Linked DNA regions of Schizosaccharomyces pombe. Changing the gene in region 1 together with any one later gene gives a genetic interaction. Each region holds a gene or a part of one and is shown on either strand. Other genes may lie near its edges.

The links.
Region 2: mutations in SPOM_SPAC23H3.11C (region 1) and mde7 together harm fitness less than expected from each alone (positive genetic interaction), as found in Schizosaccharomyces pombe (one large-scale study listed by BioGRID).

The regions. Positions count from the first base shown.
Region 1 is NC_003424.3:2,512,163-2,516,712, reverse strand, and holds SPOM_SPAC23H3.11C (glucosidase), read left to right. Parts: upstream 1-1,863; coding exon 1,864-3,753; 3' UTR 3,754-3,808; downstream 3,809-4,550. Other genes in the region: SPOM_SPAC23H3.12C (hydrogen/potassium transport protein), read left to right, coding at 840-1,520; SWI/SNF and RSC complex subunit Ssr2, read right to left, coding at 3,951-4,550.
Region 2 is NC_003421.2:153,698-158,805, forward strand, and holds mde7 (RNA-binding protein Mde7), read left to right. Parts: upstream 1-2,208; coding exon 2,209-4,494; downstream 4,495-5,108. Other genes in the region: SPOM_SPCC320.06 (uncharacterized protein), read right to left, coding at 4,880-5,108.

The DNA.
Region 1 (4,550 bases):
TTTTTAATATTGTCCGGAGTTTATTACACATGTTCTTTAAAAATATTTTTCCAATATATACATTGGCTGCTGGAATCTGAAATCACCGATTTGTCTGTAAGGAAAAGGATCGATCTCCTTTTCAGTTGTCTCAGAACGTTCACAGATTGCTATTAAATAATCTCTTTAAGATGACCAAGTTATACAGTTCTAGTTGATATAAATATTTTGTCATTTTTGCGAATATCAATTTGCATTTAATTTTTTACTTTAAACGATGCTGCTGGCGAATGCTTTTAAAGTTATTGAATACTTTCTGTTGAACATAGTCTTAAGATTGAGAAAGTAGATCTCCAGTTTTGATTCGAACATCTATCTCTGCTTTCAGAACTATTGCTATCACTTAATGCTGCTATTTATGAGGGTCGTAGAAAATCCGTTTGAGTACTAAGAGACTTTGAGTGGATACATGATTTAATCGCTTTTGTTTTAGTATTTAGTTTTTAATTGTTAGACTACTTGTATAGACTATTTCACTGAATCATCAAAATTGTTGTCTCTCTTTGTTGGCACCAGAGACTGATACTTTTTACCGACTTTCAGTATCTTTTCTTTAATATATTAATTTACTAATCAAAAAAGCTATTGAACACGTGTATTTCTGCCATGTATAATAAAAAGCCGCACTGTTCTGTATACGTATCAATTTGATTAAATTAGATAGTAATACTACTACATAGATATTCGTTACCCACTTTTAGCTTCTACTTTAGTATATCCACCCATCTTTGTGTTACTGCAGGTTTATTTATTTCAATATTTATTTTGTAAAAACAATTAAGTACATTCGTTAACTAATTATGAGAATTATTGCACTTCCTTTGCCAAATCAAAGGGTATTCTTACATTGTTATCCTTCTGAATACCTTGCCAAAAAAGTTACTATTCACGACAAAATTATAAACAGAATTTACAAGTATTGGGACTCCTGGAGTGCTTCAAAAAGCTATACCAAACAAAAGGTTGTGTCTTTGGGAAACCGAATTTTGCATGCAACTCCTTATGAAGAAAATTTTTTAAGGGCGATTGCTCCTGTTAAGAAGCTAAATGATACAGAATTACACCAAACTTTGTATATTGAACATCCTCCAAATTTGGAATCAAGTACTATTTTAGCTGAGTTGAATCGGTCCAAACAATTACAAAAGACCCATACAAATTACCTTATTGGTAATATTATTGGATTACCATTGACTATACCTTTCATTCTCATACCTCTAATACCAAATATTCCGGGTTTTTATCTTTGTTATAGAGCATACTGCAATTTTCGTGCTATTCAAGGGTCTATTCAATTAGCTCGGGTAATGAGCATAGAAAACATTCAAATGCAGGAAAGTGAAAAACTAGAAAAAGCATTGAAGTTGTTTACAAATGGAGATGCTACACCATTAAACGCTCTCATAGGCCACCCGGATTTCGTGGACCGCTACAAACGTGCCGTTGCTCAGGAGCAACGGAAATCAAAAATAATCAAATAAGAATATTTTTTTCCTTCTATTTTATGAAGTCCTTTGCATATAAAATCAATGACCTAAGTAGTGTGCAATCGTCGTTCCGGTCATAGTTATGCCATAACATTATTGCGCAGCTATGAGTAAAAAGAAAGTCCCAAACTGATATGAGGAGTGGAATTTTATATCAAGAAAACATCTTCCTTTTTTATTTTAAATATTAAAACTCCCATTCTTTTGTTCTTTCTCTTATTAGTGGTTGGCAATCGTTCATTCTTTTCTGGGGTTCTTTCTTTCTTTTAATCTTCTTTCCATCTTTCCTTTAAAAAATAATCTTCTCATATTTATATCTTGATTAATATATATTCTCATGGAAAAAGGTCATAGCGACTTACCTAGGCAGCCAGAGAGAGTTGCTCAAAACCCATTTTTGACATTTGATCAAGATAGCTTTCCTTCTAGCTATGGATCTTCTTTAAATGTTTCAGAGCAAACTTCTGGATCTTCAAGCACTTCTCCATTGCCTCAGATTAGTTGTTTACTTCGTAAGGACGATGTACCTTTAGCAAACAAAGAACTTTCTCGATCTCTCATTCATGTTCAAGAACTGAGTCGCTATCCTCCTTTTTATAACCAAGATCATCAACATTTAGGAGTACCGAGAAGCAGAGTGGGTTCTGATGTTTGGAAAATGAGGGAGAAATCTTTTTTAAGCCCATCTCAATTTAGTAGTATTGATTTAAGTTGGGTTTATCGATCTAAGGAAGAGGATGATGACTTTCATGATCCAAAATCATCAGTTGTTAGTTTAATGGGGGAAGAAGATTATTTGGGTTGGTCACGTTTTTGCGATCTTTTCTTTCTGTTCGTCCTTTCCCTTGGGATAGGATTATTATTCATAGTTTTTCCTGCTTTGACATTCACTGGAAATATTACTCCGAGTAAAGAAAAGTTTGATGCGATAATGGCTAATCAAATAACTGACCATTTGTTTGCGCACATGCGTGTTCCGCGCACGAACCTGATTGACAAGGATACGCCCTCTACAGCGTATCACAGAACCGGGTACAACGGTCGTAAATACAATTTGGTTTTTTCTGACGAATTTAACAAAGAAGGAAGATCTTTTTATTCCGGAAATGATCAATTTTGGGAAGCGGTTAATATTCACTATGCTGCGACGAATGATTTAGACTGGTATGATCCTGATGCAATTACTACCGTTAATGGAACATTAGCCATTCAACTCGATGCATTCTGGAACCGAGATTTGAATTTTCGTTCTGGAATGTTGCAATCTTGGAACAAGCTCTGCCTAAAAGGTGGTATAATTGAAGTATCGGCCTCTTTGGCAGGTTCAGGTGAACACGCAGGATTATGGCCAGGTATCTGGACACTTGGAAACCTTGCCCGCCCTGGCTATATGGCTACAACTGATGGAGTATGGCCATATGCATACTCTCAGTGTGATGTAGGAATTACGCCCAACCAGTCTTCTTACGATGGCATTTCTTATTTACCAGGACAAAAATTGCCAAACTGTGTATGTCTAAATGAGGATCATCCTAGTCCAGGTGTTGGACGTGGCGCTCCTGAAATTGACATTCTTGAAGGTTCAACAGAGAAGCTACATCCCGACGATGAACTAGACATTGGTGTAGTTTCTCAATCTGGGCAGTTCGCACCATTCGATTTTTTCTGGTTACCAAATTATGATTATTTAGCAGTTTATAATGACAGCATTACTCACATGAACTCTTATGTGGGAGGGCCTTTTCAACAGGCTCTTTCAGGAATTACTACTTTAAACAATACATGGTATGGAGGAAATGCATTCCAAATTTATGGTTTTGACTACAAGCCTGGTGAAGGTACTAATGGGTATGTATCTTGGTTTGTCGGTCCAAACTATACTTGGTCGATGCTTGGCAGCGCCGTCGGTCAAAATGGAAATGTCGGACCTCGTCAAATTAGTGAGGAGCCAATGTCTATTATTTTCAACCTTGGAATATCAAACAATTGGGCTTATTATTACTTCCGGGATCTTTCATTTCCTGCAGTGATGTACATAGATTACATTCGTATCTATCAAGACCCTGATGACACCAACTCACATATCGGATGTGATCCCCCCGGCTATCCTACTACCAAGTATATTGAAGAACATCCGTTAGCATACAAAAATCCAAATGCTACAACTTGGGAAATGGCTGGTTATACATGGCCTAAGAATTCTTTAATGCATAAATGTAACACTTAATTGCCATTATGATCATATTTTATATGAATTATCTATATATTTAAGATGCATTTCAGTTATATAACAATTAGAATTTAATGTTCATTTTTTTTTCTTTTTCAAAAAAAAAATTTAGATTACATATATATATGTCTATAAAAACTAGATAGCCAAAAGAACTTCATGCAGAATACAAATTTGAATTTGGTGAACCTAACTTATAAAGCAATTGTACGAAATTTATCGGGATATTGCTTACTTAAAGGAGAAACGGTTGTTGCCGTAGGCATCTCAAATGTCAATAATGCTTCTGCATGTTCTGTACTCATTAAATCGTCAATTATTTTCAAACCATCTTCACCGCCCAAATTAACAGCTTCTTCCAATTTCTTGTTAAACGCAAGAAGCATTTTTTTAGTAGACAAACGACTTAGTAGTAAGTTTTTTCCACGAAGATCGAGTTCAGATAATTCTAAAGAACACATCTTTTCGAGTTGTTCAAGCACCTTCATTTTAAGCTGTAACTTCTCAAGCTGAGCCTGGATTAACGAAAAAACCAAGCGTCGAAGCTGGCGATTTTCAAACGCTGCAATCAATTTTGCTTTTTGAGCAGCAGATTTTAAAGCATAATAAGCAACCCTCTCTAGTGGGTTTTTAAACTCGGAATTCCCAAAGGAGGTTTCTCCTTGTTTCACTGATTCATTTTGCTTGCGCTCTTTCATGCCTTGTTGAACAATGGAAGCCAAATATGTTAAAGTACTTAAAACTGGATTTTCATTTTCATCAAAGGGCAAAAATCCCTTTTTAAATGGGGAAAA
Region 2 (5,108 bases), on another chromosome or scaffold:
TCAATATGATAAGTGAATGTTTCTCTAGAAAAGATAGAAAATAACTAAGCCACTTGTTATCAGACATACAGTACGTGAACATAATCAAGCGTATGACTGAACTATGATTTTGGTACCTCCCTTCCACAGCATAAGCTTCTCCAAGATTGTTTAACTTTTTAGAAATTAGCTCCGATTCAGTTGGTTAAATCTAGGCTCTTTAGTTTGTCTTTTAAGCAACTCATATACAGCTTATAATATCAATTTATTATAGACATATCAATAACACTTATTGCTCAAGTATTTACAAGCCATCAAAATTAACGCATCCTTAAATCTGTAACAAACTGCGTAACTGCAAGCTAACATACTGTAATTTAACGATCAAGCTCTTATGTAGACTTTACGTCGTTCCGAACTCATTAAGCTTGCTAGGGGTTTTAACGAAATTGCGTTATGTCATTCTGTGTAATAAAATTGTCACCACCATTCCTGAGATCACTCATCTATCATAGCAGTCAAAAGCATGCAGATGATCCATTGGGATATTAGAAATTGCCAAGCCTTCCAGTTCATTTCCATACGAGGCAAATGAGGAGAAACGAGACTTTTCTTCTCTAATATTGATCTATTCAAGAGCAATTTAGTCACAAGTTCTGATCATCTGTTCGTACTTGAATATGTAAACATTACAATAAACGGAACCAAAAGTCAAAGCATGCAAAGCGAAGTGAATTTAAACAGTTCATTCCTTATTAAAAGAACTGCTTGTCCATATTTTTTGACAAGAATATGCTTCTTTTAAGATAGACAGCAAATAGGCGGTTTTAAGGTTGATGCAAACATAAATCATGTTACAGCAACTACTTTTAAGGCGTAAAGTTTACCTTCATAGTTGACAGTAAATTATTTTTATCTTTCTATTTTTGAAAGCAAATTCGTAAGGAGAATAATAATAGTATTATAAACACCACTTGATCGCAGTGCTGCGTCTAGAGTGTTGATTAAAATATGACTCAATTGCTTCGACACCTCCATAGGACTACTTTTACTCAATAATCTGTAATCATCGAGTATATTTAAAGTAAGAGAATAGCCTCCATCCCCGCTTTCCAAAAACGTATACATATAAAGTGCATCGCATACGCTTGAAATTAACTTTTGATTCAGAAATCTTCTCGTGTCTAATCCTTTGTCCTAAAAAGCCTAATTTCGTGTATCTTATACTGCGAAGCAATACAGAAGATATTTTCTGGAAATAATTGACTCTTTTCCCTTCCAATCCATATACGAGGAATTTTTGACATTAAATTCCACTTTTAGAACCATTCTATTCTTTCTCTTTCCTTGCTACCACCATCCATTTCTAGTCATTCAGTTCAGGTTTTTTAGTAAACCTTCTTGTTAATTGGTTATAACATCGCTCTTTCATTGCTTAAAAGAGTAACTTTTTAAATCACCGTACCTTCCTTGCAAAGTTAACCTGTATACATCCTTCTGTGAACCCGCAACAGACCATTTTATTTTTTTAAATAAAGCATAGTCTCAAGTTCCCTAACATTTGATTAAATACCGATTGCCGATTAAAGCATTCCGACATTTTTGTTTTCATCAGATTATTCAAGTAACGAGTTAAGTATTTTTTACCTCGTTCACACATTGACTGCCTTTTTCTTTTTTGCATTACTTTTTTGACAATCTCGATAATCTTTTATTAATCCAGCCTTCATTTTCAATTCCTTTTTTTTTTTGAAATTCAAATTCTCGTTGACTCCTCACATCGACGACATAAGCAAATTCCGTTCTCTCACTAGGCCTATTGACCGATTTGAGCATTTTAAACAAGCATTGTTTGTCTATCTCTTTTTTGACTTCTGCATACCTCAGTCTTGTTACCTTGAACGTTATATTTTCTCTGTTTTTTTATCGAGGTAAACAAACAAAAAAAAACATATTTTATAGTATCCAATCAAAAAAAACCACTTTTTTTAATTTTTCATCTACAAACAATAAATAACTTTCAAACGAAAGAATTTACTGTTTAATATTCTGTTGATTCCTTAACTTCTTGGAGGATCTATTTATAAAACTGCTGCCTGCGACGATTCAAATCGAGGTGTTCCCAATCAATTTGTAAAACAGGTGTTTTCTTTAATACTTTTGGTTCTATTTTGCATTTTCTGTTTCTAGTACCGCCACGTTCATTTATTAATTATCCCTAATTGAATAATGAGTCAACTTTATGCTTTAAACGGACAACCTCTAGCAGGGAAATCTGATGACCTGGCAAATAAACTTGCCGCCTTCGGATTGTCTCAACCTAACCATAGTTCTCTTTCAGAACAACAATCGACCAACTCTTTGCTTCATGGTTCAGGAGCATTTAATAAACCCCCACTGTCCAGGAATTCAACGACAAATCCGCTTAATTTATTATATACACAAACACAGCAACCTGCAAGGTCGACAACTCCTTTTCTGCTTAACCCAGTAGGATCAAGTCCTGGTAAATTGCCCGTGCCTTCAAGGAACAACTCTTACTTACAGGGCACTGCGGAGTCAAACTCCGGTAATTTTGCAAATAATTCAATTAGCAATAATTGCTGGAATTCCGCATACAATTCTAACAGTTTCGAAGGCACAGGCAGCTCTCCAAATTTTCCACCCCAAAATCAATTTCTTTCAGATAGTCGATCTTCAATTGCAACGCTAAATGCCATCCCTTCGTTGGATCAAAGTGTTCTATTGAATCCAAATCTTCGGGCTAGAACACCTAGCTTGGTACCGGAACATTACTTTGATGATACCGACAAATCAGTACATTCTAAAAGTAGTTCTGGATCTAACTCCCTTAGTGAAGCTTCAAATGATGATTTAGAATCTTCTATCATTCAAATTGTTGGTGGCTTGCCGGACGATTTTGATGATAGAGAGCTGAGTGGAATTTTCACATTCTGCGAAGGATATGATTTTTCAAAAATCGAAAGTGAAAATGGGCACCGAAAAGCTATTGTATACTTTCGGAACGCAATAGCTGCATTAAAGGCAAAAAACATGTTAAACGCGTCTTCTACAAACAATTTCACCATTATTCAAAGGGATGTTGTAAGGCAACAAGAAAATGAATATCACAAGGGCATTCCACCATTGACTACCCCAAGTTTATATTCCCAACGCCTGTCAAATAACTATGACTCAACAACGCCTGGGTTTCCTCGGTTTTCACCAGCAAATTTTGATTCTGTCATCAATAAGGACGTTACTTCAGAATCACGAATGTCCACCTCGTATCCAGCGGTATTGGAAGCTTTTAAATCGTTCAACCCAATAAAGGCTCCTAAAGCTGAATATCTTAATCAATCACGAGCATCAATGGGAAACCCTTCACCTTCAAACTGGAATAATAGGCTATTACAGCCATCTTCTAAAGAGCAAGCCGTATATTCTTTCCAAACGCAGAAAAATAGCAAAGGGCTTCAATTTACAAGCAATGAATTAACAAACCCCACAGCCAAATATTCACAGTTGCCAAACAATATTGCTAATATTGGTGAATCTAATTCTTTATCAAATCAGCCGAATAACTTTGCACAAACGTCGTTCGATTACCAACCTAATCATCCAAATGCAATTTCGCCCAAAGCAAAGTTTTCTTTACCTTCAAGACCAAGTTATCATAAAGACAACTCTTTTATTTCAAAACAAGCTATCGATAAATCAAATCCTTTTGAAGAGGCATTGCGATTAGAACGTACGAGCCCTGTTAAAGAGCTACCTGCTATAAGACCACGTACAATTCCACTGAATGGTGTTGCCCCATATGAAAGTGAACTTAGGCCGCCGCCCAAGTGGAAGCCTATGCCAGACCTTAAAGTAGTCCGTTCACGCCCGTCATTAAAACAACGCCCTTTAAGGAGCGCCGAATATGTCCGTGTTTGTGAATTAAAATGCCTTCAGGAAGAAGAATTTGATAATAAAGTGCTATTGGAACAAGTAGAGTCCAATGTGCAAACTGATCATAACTCACCCTGTAACACAATTTATGTGGGAAATTTGTCCAACCCAGACCAAGAGAAAAAGCTTAGGTTGGCTTTTTCAAAAGAGAAGGGGTATCGGAGACTATGTTTCAAAATTAAGGGAAACAGTCCTATGTGTTTTGTAGAATTTGAGGAAGTTTGCCATGCTGCGAAAGCAATGGAAAAAATGCAAGGTGCTGCATTAGACGATAAAATTAAAGGTGGCATTCGCTTAAGCTATTCCAAAAATCCACTTGGTGTCCGCTCCACCGAAAACCTTTCAACCACAGCATCCCTTTTTCAACAACACGGCCCTCCGAAGAAAAGCACGGACTGCTACTCAGCAAAGGCATCCGCTGCTGTTGAACGAAAATACCATTTTCAAAATATGACTCCAAAACCAAATGGAACCAACAGTGTCACCACACTAAACAGGACCCAAACTCACTCGTCGGAAGTGAACGATTTGTTTGATATTTTTGAGTTTCCTAGCAAATAGAAACGGTGAGTTTTTCTTCAATAGTCAACACTATTGAAAAGAGCACGCTAAGGCTATGTAAAGAAAATGACTCTATTTCTATACAAAGTCAAAACGTTTGATTTTTAGTTTTAACATTCAGAATCAGTTGCATGACAGAATTATTTTATCCTTTGTGAAAAATTCCACAATTATTGAGAAAAAAAATAAAAAAATAATAATAACTAGCATAATTAATAAAAAATTTGGTTGAATTTGGTAAGCAATTATTGAAATTCAAAGTAACATGCTGTCAGCCTTCACTAAGCTAGATTGGAAAAAACTTGATCTCACACTTTGGTTGCAAAATGTAGAATAAAATTTATAACGCAATAAAATTTAACGACGTCTTCCATTTAAAGTCGAATTAACGATTTATGTTTGTTAGTTCGTCATGGTTTAAAAGTTCGGAAAGAGTTTTGAATGACAAATGCTTCCGTTTTTTAGAAACACCGAGGGTCATTATTTTGTTTGATAAGATTTGTGTAGAAGTAGTGTAAATACCATAATATGAGCAAATCAAATGCATCCAATATCGAGCGAAGGCTGTTGCTTTCGGATTGCTAGGACAATCAATTAACATATAAATTCGATAG